2 linked regions of the Drosophila melanogaster genome follow. The protein of the gene in region 1 interacts with the protein of each later gene in a biochemical or structural test. Each region holds a gene or a part of one and is shown in the gene's direction. Other genes may lie near its edges.

Evidence for each region.
Region 2: of the proteins of Srpk79D (region 1) and brp, one has a biochemical effect on the other in vitro, tested with the Drosophila melanogaster proteins (one study listed by BioGRID).

The regions. Positions count from the first base shown.
Region 1 is NT_037436.4:22,272,312-22,277,218, forward strand, and holds the start of Srpk79D (Serine-arginine protein kinase at 79D), read left to right. Parts: upstream 1-1,673; 5' UTR 1,674-2,246; coding exon 2,247-3,127; exon of another isoform or gene 3,128-3,180; intron 3,181-3,234; exon of another isoform or gene 3,235-3,405; intron 3,406-4,907. Other genes in the region: Csp (cysteine string protein), read left to right, coding at 58-80.
Region 2 is NT_033778.4:9,502,160-9,507,077, forward strand, and holds the start of brp (bruchpilot), read left to right. Parts: upstream 1-1,605; 5' UTR 1,606-1,686; intron 1,687-2,844; 5' UTR 2,845-3,309; intron 3,310-4,918. Other genes in the region: Wnt2 (Wnt oncogene analog 2), read left to right, coding at 1-97, 163-350, 568-880.

The DNA.
Region 1 (4,907 bases):
TTTGATTTCTTTTCACTTATCACTGTCTACTTCTCTCTCCCCCTCTCTTCACTCTAGATATGGTTAATCAAAAATATTAGTCAAGTGCTGCGAGCGAGTCAAGACCCGGGTGCTTGCGTACACCACACATTCAGATACAGACACAGAAAACACAAGCCCCTAAATCGTAACAGAAGAGAAAACCAGATTTATTTCATAATTATTAGTGTTGTTTTTAAAATGCGCGATATGTTGAAGCGAGTAAACATAGAAACCAATGTATTTATTTTAAGCCGTAGCACTTAGCTCTAATTTTAAACTATCGAACTTCGTGGCCGCCCTCCGGTCAGTCAGGTTGATTTTGGTCCACTTCGGGCAATCGATTCACCAATTCCATTGTTCAAGCCATGCATCTAGCCTTGCAGCTGTACCACTATACAACTCGAATCGATAGCCAAGCCGCGAAGCCACCATCTCCACCTATCCAGTCATGCTAATCACCAAAACACCATTCGGTGTTGATGAAATTGTATATCGGAAGTTTGTCTAGACATTTGCTTGGGGATCGGATCCCTTGCGGCTTAGCCCGTGAGTTGGGATTCAGTCGCGAAGAGAGGCACTGTAATTATATATATGTATATGATATGTGTATCTAGTTTGTGGCATTTGTGTCGTCGCTTAGTCTAGCTAATTTGTTCTCGAGATCTCCTCTTCACCGATTGTTTCTGTTATTTTGCACTAAATTGTTAAAGCCAGAACTACTTATGTAAAAAGGATGAATTGTCGAGCGACGCGCCCAGCAGATTGCTCCGATCCGATTCTAATGCAAATGTAAATACGAGTTAAACAATTAAGCATCACACAGTTAAACAGAGGAGGACGAAGAAGAGGACACTTTGAAGGGCGATCCAATTAACGCAAATATAAATTATATAACAGATATTAATAATCCCCTCTATATATAAAACAATTAAATACGAGTAATCAAAAGTTGAATTGTAACCCCCGAAAGTATTGCACATATTTATGTATTCCAAATTGTTTCAAAATTGAATTGAATCTAATTAATTTTTGTTTGATTGTTAACCCGCTTTTAAATGTAAATGAATGCGATTAGTCCAGCAGTAATTAACTTTTATATTGTAGTATCCCATTCTAAATCATTGACATCAATTATTGCCGATCAGCTCCGGGCCAGGATAAAAGTCCTTGGGCGCCTGGGTCTAGGGCCGGGATCCGAGAGTCGCCGGCTCATCTATAGTATAAACACGCATACATATATAAAATTCAATTATTAATAATTACATTTTACGGTCTTGCGTGTGTATTTATTGTTCGTACAAGTCAAAGCAAAAATACTAAGTAAACTAAATTTAAACTTAACAATTGTTTCCAAATTTCAATTGTATTCTGGTCTAACACGAAGAAGCCGAAATAAATTTATTATACAAACTCACCGCTTTGTTTTACAAAGGGTATTGCCTAGTCGGCTTTGCCCATGAAAAGCTCTGCCAGGATGGTAAACAAACTGATTTTCGGGGATGGAACTTTCGACGACGCCAGCTGCTTGCAGTTAGCTTTCACTCTCTCCGCTCGGGCTTTGTTTTGTTTTGGGACAGTAACGGGCCACAGCCGGCACATGCGCTTTGCCCGCTCCCCGGAATCGCTGAACTTCGCCGCAGAGTTTTCCGCTTCAGAACCCGGAGGGCAGACCGTCGGAGAGTTCGAGCCAAGTGCGGACAAAGAAGACTTTTCCGTGCTGCTGCTTCTGCCAAAAACACAAAGTGGAAAATGTGATGTGTTCGCTTTATTTGTCGAGGATAAATCAATTCCGCTATTAACTAGACTACGGGCACGTACCTGGCCAAAAGCATCGAAGAAAGGCGAAAGGGAATCCAATAGGCCCAATTGAGGGCAGACCGTGGAAAAACCCTCTTCTATCGCGAACCAGTTCGTGGCAGTGTGTGCGTGCGTGTGTGGATTTTCGCCTTACTTTTTTCATGCGCAATTTGGGTTACAAAGCGAGAAAAGCGCTGCTTAAAATGCATGTTTTAAGCGCGTCCCTTCATTGATTTTCCTACGCACAAGGAATGATATACGAAGTCCTCACCAGGAACAAAGGGCGCAGGCCAACGATGAGGACAAAGACGCGAGGAAGCTGCTTCTAGCTTCCCAGCATTCATTAGGACAGGGCGAGGACCAGCCCCGCGCAGATCAGGAAACTCATCCCGGGAGGCATCCTGGCTCCCGTACTGCCCAGTAGCGGCATGGCCGGCCTCATCGGTGCCGCAAATGGCAAACACCACCACCCACACCTCATCTCGCCCACCCACACGTCACTGCCGGCCGGCATATGTAGTAGTGACAGCGGCATCTCCACTTTGAGTGCCATCTCGCCGCCACTCTCCACCTCGACCACCACGGCCTCCGGTGCAGGCGGAGGAGTGGGCGGCAGCCCTCAGCTGCGCACCTCACCTGCGCTGAGTATGCTGGGTAGCGCCACGGCGACGGCCAGCGGCGTTACCGCCTCCTCAGGATGCGGTCTAACTGCCGGGATCCTGGGCCCGGCGGCCAGCATTGACCTGGGCAGCTCGCCGCTTTCTCACCGAAACTACAGCAACTCACTGAAGGGCTTTAGTTTCCGTCGCAGCTTCGACGACAAGATCATCAATACGCCGTACTTGTCGCGCGCTCCAGCCTACACCCACGGCATTCCCTATCCGCATTTTCACGGTACTCAGCCTGCGGCCACCACGCCGCACCACCTCCACCTACACCACCATGGGAACGGCACAGCTGCGGGATCAGGTTCCGGTGTGGGATCGGGACCGGGATCTGGCAGCGGTGCAGGAGGACTCTACCAGCAGCCTCTGTCGCTGGCCTCGATGACAGCGGCCCTGCCACTGGCTCCGCTCTATGGATCCCCGCTGTCCCTGCCGCTGACCTCCTCTCAGTCCACCACCAAGCTCTCCTACCGCGACGACTTTCTGCAGCAGATTGGCTATCTGCCAACTACGCGCATCTACAGCACCCCGACCAGCATCGTCGACGAGGACAAGGCCCAGCAGGACTTCCTCTCGCTGTCGCTGTCGCCGCCGCTCAACCGACGGCGGGATATGCCGGCACTGCGCGGCCCATTCGTCAGTCTGTAAGTACTTCATCGATATCGTTGTCCCTATTTGGTAAAACATTTTTATTGTGCTATAAAATTAATATAAGAATTTAGTATATATTTCTATTTTCGGCTACAAATACCATATTTGCCAATATTATAAGATAAACTTCCTTCGATCACTTCATGATCACTTGAACACTTCATCTTCAAAAAAAATGTTCTTGACATGAACTGACACTGAGACATGATCAGAAGATCAGGATCTTTTAACAAATAGAGCTGGGCGTGTCCGTCCGTCCGTAATTTTGTATAAAGTTCGACCACACGTTTATTTCAAGACGTGTTCATGACGGACTACTAGAAACGTTAACTAATACTGCTCATTGGAAAGCGACGTCTCTTTAACGCTTTTCTGTTAAGATATCTCAACTCAATCTCTCAACTGAGTAACGAAGTAACTCGACCAAATGCATTTAATTTGTATTGACAAAATGGTATTAGGTTCCATTTCTGAGTGACACAGTATAAGCCTGTAATGTAAATAAAAATATAAATTGACAATTAATGAAATAATATTAAAGGGCATACCAGCTTCGACTTAGTAAAGTAAGCTTTTTTCCAGTTTTCTTTCCCATCACTCTCATGCGGATAAAATATGAACATAAAGTATACGCCGCGTGTATTCCACGTGTCTCTCACAGGCAGGAAATAAATTTATCGAACCGTAACGAGCTGCTCCAATATGTGAGCCGTTCGGGGATGGCCTCACTATTCGCGTTCCCACTGTGCGGGCACAGTGGGCCTCATTGTTGACGCAACCCATTAGTTCGATACCCTTCGCCACACAGTGTGCTTATCCCGAATGGGATGTGATTCCACACACTACATACTTACTTATGTGGTCCAGTTTTTTCGACAGTGGTACCAAGCAAACTTTACCTCCTGCGTCCCATAATCCTACATCGATCCCCCCGCATGAGTTCTTCCATTCAGTCCGCTCGGTTTGTTTACGTTTTTAAATTGCCCTAACCGCAAGTAGGCACCACGTGACGCCAGTGGCTAACCAATGAGCACCCCCAACCCAATCACCAACCTCCAACCCCCAGCGCATCCCCGCAATAACACAAACTCACTGCAATCGAGCAAAACGATGACGTTTTACTGCCTCTGGCTGCTCTGTATTCGCACTGATTTTCTAGCCGACTTATTGTTTTCATTCGCTTCTTTCGGCGTCTATAAATAATAATTTTATTGTGTTGTGCGGGGGGGGGGGGGGTTTGGTGGTGGTGTTGTTATGTACGCCGAGTAGAGCGCGTTCGTGTGTCAGAAATAGGGTGACTCAAGATGTCAGCAAGCTTTTCCTTCTAAAGAAATCGCCATGGCTCCATAAGGATCAACGGCTGACTCAAGTTGGGAACGGGGCTGCAAAATCAATAAGGCCGGTTAGTCCCAATACGAACTCACACATTTGCATATTGTGCAGGCGGCGGACGGAACTGCAGTTGCATTGCGAGGAATTTTTCAATCGCACCTAATCGCTCGAAACTACCTTTCGAAGTGGTTTCGAAACCTTTTGGAATTCGAGGTATTCGAAATCCTGCCTGTCGAACACCCCTCTGCACGGGCGAGGGAAAATTTGGCAAGATGCCTAAGAAATCTCGAAGCACTCGATGATGACGATGATGTTGACGGGCATGGCCCCGCATGAGTGTGTGCTCATTTGGTGGACTCTTTCCTGGTGTAGTGCAGTCCATGACCGGCAAAGGCAGCGAACAACGAGCAGCGCCACGACATCGACTTGATGAAGTACATT
Region 2 (4,918 bases), on another chromosome or scaffold:
TGGGATGCGGTATGCGCGCAGATTCATGGATGCCCGCGAATTGGAGCGCGACTCCCGCACGCTGATGAACCTGCACAATAACCGAGCAGGGAGAACGGTGCGCATGCATAAAATTTAATAATAAATATGGCCTAGTTAATAGTTATGTTTTTCTCTTATCAGCTGGTCAAGAAGATGCTGCGCACGGACTGCAAGTGCCATGGCGTCAGTGGCTCCTGCGTGATGAAGACCTGCTGGAAGAGCCTGCCGCCCTTTCGACTGGTTGGCGATAGACTCATGCTGAAGTATCAAAAAGCCAAAACTGTTCAAGCCGTCAAAGGCAAACGTGGACTGAGATTAGTATTAAGCAGGTGAGAAATGGGAATCTTGCAAGATGTTGCATGATATGTAGGCAATAATCTAATGGCTAAATAAGTATTCTTCTAAAAAGAATAAAACACATAGTAGTCATTAAGTCCTTTTTAAATGCAATATGTTTGCTGTGCCTTCTGTAGCACGGTATAATATCAACACATTTTCGATCCCACATATTAACACATACCTCTTTCCACTTTTAATTTCTTGCAGAAAGAAGCATGCCGGCACCGCTCGTGCCCAGAAACCGGTCCTCGATTGGCCGAAGCGCATGGAGCTGATCTACCTGGAGGCGTCGCCCAACTACTGCGAGCGAAGTCTGCAGACGGGCAGCCAGGGCACCTCAGGTCGGACCTGCCAGCGGACCGGCCACGGCCCCCAGAGCTGCGATCTGCTCTGCTGTGGGCGTGGCCACAACACGCAGCACATTCGAAGGACCACGCAGTGCCGCTGCCAATTCCGCTGGTGCTGCGAGGTCAAGTGTGACGAGTGCGACGAGAGCTACGAGGAGTTCACCTGTAAATAGACGGGTAGCGGGAGCATATCGCTAGAACTAGGGCTATGTCATAGGAAATGCGTTGATTAAGTATTATGAGAAATGTATTACAACCGCAGATACGCACCGCGCCACCATACAGACACATTCCAGAATAAACGTAACAAGTTAACATCCCCAACGAATACTGTCTTATTATTAAGTTCGTATAATTCAAATAAGTATTTAAGTTTTCTTAGAAAAGAACCTTCTGCAAAAAAGCTAATCTAGGTGAGCTGATACATTCAGTCTGCTGTTTCAGATTTCTTATTCCTTAAAAATAGTTTCCAAAATAATGAAATCCAAATCTTTAAGAATCTATAATCTGTTCTTATAGAAAACTGTTCCTAAAACCAACGAGTTCATAGTCTAATTTTGAGGGCGGTTTGAATAGTTGGCGCGCAGCATTGCCAACGCTGAATGTGGAGCAATACGTAAGACCCACATTCGTTTAGCGTAACGCAATGCGCTGGCTCCATATTTTGGTATTGGAATTCCGGAATCCATTAAGCTGGCAGCTCGAGATGCCAGCACTCACTGAACTGCGCGAGCGCCGAAAGGAAAATTCATTGATTGCAATCGCGCGCTCTCCGGCTAGCTCTCCCTATGCCTAGGCCAGGAGGAAAGCAGAGGGTGGTCGGTAAGGAAAAGTTGGAAAACTCACCACTTGCCAGCGAATCGGCGACTATATTAGCAACTGGCTTGCACGAGCCGTGCTCAGTTCTTTGAGGGTAGTTAGTTGGACAACGGCGTTGCCGAAAACGGGCCACCTCAGCTGCCGCACAATACATTTTTGGGTTAGGAACACACATAGACACGAATACCAATACACTCCCGCATGCACACACACATACACACACGCGCAGTATATGTATCTGGCCGAGAAATGTATAAGGCCAAGAAAAGTCCAACTTAATTGCATTCGCAGCGGAGAAAAGTGAAAGAATAGCGCGAGAAAATTCCATTGACTGGCGAAAAGTGCTTCGATCAAATGCATAAAGTCCCCGTTAGTGTGTGTGTATGTGTGCGAGTGAGTGAGTGTGCGTGAATGGCAGCACTAGCGCTAGAGGCTGCTCCCTGGATACAGAAAAGTGATTTCCTGCAAAAAGTGCGAAAAAAGCGAGTTAAAAGCAAATCGAGCTGGCCAAAAAGCCGCCTATAGCGCTCAAAATCGTGTGACAAACTCAAGGAACCATTTCACACACACCCTTTATACGTATATATATATACAAATGTGCATTTGTGTATAGTATATCAGTGTGAAAGACCAACGTACAAACACACACTGTCAATCAAAAGGAGTCATCTGTCCCACTAAACGCTGCCTATCGATTGGGGCGAAAGCAAAAAAAAATTATTATAAATTGCTTCAACCTACATATAAGCCATGCGAGTTATACACACACACTCGCATTCGCACACCCACAAAACCGCACTCACACACACACACACACACATACGCATACGCCTACAAAGAGACATTAAGTTTGAAAAGCTATAAGCTGTATAACAGAGCCTAGAGCCGAGCGAATGAAGTGACGGAAGGTGGGGTGCCAGCATAATGTTGAGCCACCCAAACCACCCGCTCAGCTCCACCGCCCCTCGCCCCTCGCCACACGCCACTCCCCCCACAATCCCCTTTCGTTACGTCGAACCTTACGTTGTTCGTGAGCGTAACTCGTGCGTAGAACACTCTCCACTCCATTTTGCGGAGCACTCTTCAACTCCCTATCTCTCCGTATCGCTGTGTTTGCTGTGCCTGTGTGTGTGTGTGTGTGTGTGTGTTGGGCTCGAATGTGTGTCAGCGGGAACGAGTGTAAAAAATATCCTCGTTGGGCACGAAGCCACCAAACCACTTGGAAAAATAAATGAAACACAAAAAAACCCACTCAGTGAATGAAGACTTTAATTAGTTTAGCTGGAAACTCACGCGGTTTAATTATCCTCCCACACAGCCATGTACATAAAACAAAAGCCGTTTAAATCATAAACACAAAATGCAATTAGCCAGCGAGCGCACGCCACGAAAGTCAACAAACTAACTAAGCCAGTGTCATCAACTAAATTAGTGCAAGCAGCTAGCCGACCGGAACCGGAAATGCCCATTGAGCCGCCTGACAACAACCACAAACACAATCACAATCGCAGTCACCAGCACCATTGCATTGGCAACGGCCATAAAGACGAGCAACAAATCGCCCACACACACATGTAGTTGCAGCGCGAGTGCGTCAGTGTGTGCGGGCTCTGAAAACCGGAAGCGGAAGTCGAGGAGCAGCAGCAGGAGCAGGAGCAGGAGCAAGAGGATTAAACGAACGAGGAGGTGCAGTAGCAGGAGCAGCAGCTAGCTTAGCCAGTTTTTCATTCGCCCGCAGTTCGTTAAGGAAAATCATTCAAAATTCATCGCCTAAGCAAAGCGGGTGAGCTATTTAACCGTATTACGTATACGTAACGACACCCACACTGACACTGAGATACACACACATAAACGCACACACAACCAAAGAAACACGGCAAAAACTTCAATTTGTGATGTGAACCATAAGCGATATTGATTTCTGATTTGTGCGTATGCCTTGTGTAACAGGAGCCGCCATAATTTAATCGTAATCAGTTATAAGTAATCTGTTTTTGTGCCTGCCTTTGTTCTCTCTGTGTAACTTCTTTATCTCCTGTACGTATCTGTTGTGATTTCTTTCTTGTGATTTTACCGATGAATATGTCCAGCTGAATATAAAATACGATCCCCGATTATCTAGACCTAGTTGCAGTCCTAGAACGTAGTCGAGTAACTTAGTTTAGCGAGTAATTTTAGTCTGTTCTCCATGCATTACCCATACGCCCCGTTCAATCAATCAATCATCCGGAGATTGGCAAGCAATTTGAAAACTTATAATTAGATATGTGGATGGTGCCTTGTGGGGCAGGCTCGACGCATTCGATTTGCTCGCATGATTTGTCAGTTTTTTGTTCAGCTTTTTTGGGGGCCGGCCCAATCACCTCCTTTGCGTGTCAATGATGCGGTGTTTGCCTTTATTATTTACTTCTTTCGGCTGTTATTTGAGTTGCTTGCTCTAATTTTAGATCAGCCGAATAACTTTTATTGATTTCAAATTTCAACCTTATTTTACATGTGGTCTGAGTCAGTGTCTGTGTGTGTCTGTTGTGAGAGTCAGTGTGTGTGCGGGCGAAGAAAACGCCGCCAATCCATATATTGGGGCAGTGGTAACAACAAAATACGGCAAATATTTTACGATGACGCTATTGTTGTGAGCGGGAGCGAATGGAGAAAGCAGCCAGAGGAACGGAGAAAGGCGAGAGGAGAAAGGGAAGTGCGCTGGTGAGATGGCACGCATTTGCGCACTAGCCTCCCAGTGTGGTGAGTTCTCTCTCCGGCTTTCTCCGGGGACGCCTCTCGTTTTTTCGGAAGCTATTCAACATGTTTGTTTTGGGGTGGAGGCCCCCGGAGCAGATAGCCTGATAAGATGGCCTCCGGACGGACAACAATCGTAGTGGCTTCCAGTTTCAGCTTCAGCTCCAGGTCCCCCAAGTATGCAGCTAGAAGTGCAATCCGTCTCCCGCTCTCCGCATCTACATACATCTGGCAGTATGGCAGTATATATCTGGATATGTTTGCCCAGCAAAGTGCACTGCCTGGGGCTCCCTAATGGCATGGCGATGTAATCGAATCTGGGCCTGATATTTTATGGCCTGTCTGCCATATCCTGACCTCATCTGCTGCGCTTCCTCCATCTTTTTATGTCCCCATTCTCCCTGCCGCACACATAGAGCATCCACATCCACAGAATCAAGCTGAGGCTTCCTTTCCACGGCTTTTGGCTGTGTGAATGGGCTTCCGGCCTGCTGATTCATTTAGCATTCATTTGAGCCGCTGCAGCTGTCGCACCGCTGCCGTTGATATCTGCACTCTTGGCCCATTCACATCATTCACAGCAGCCGAAGGTTCAACATTTCGTCTTATCACCAGGTCGCATTGTTTATGCGGGCGCCTTAATTACAACCTGCTAT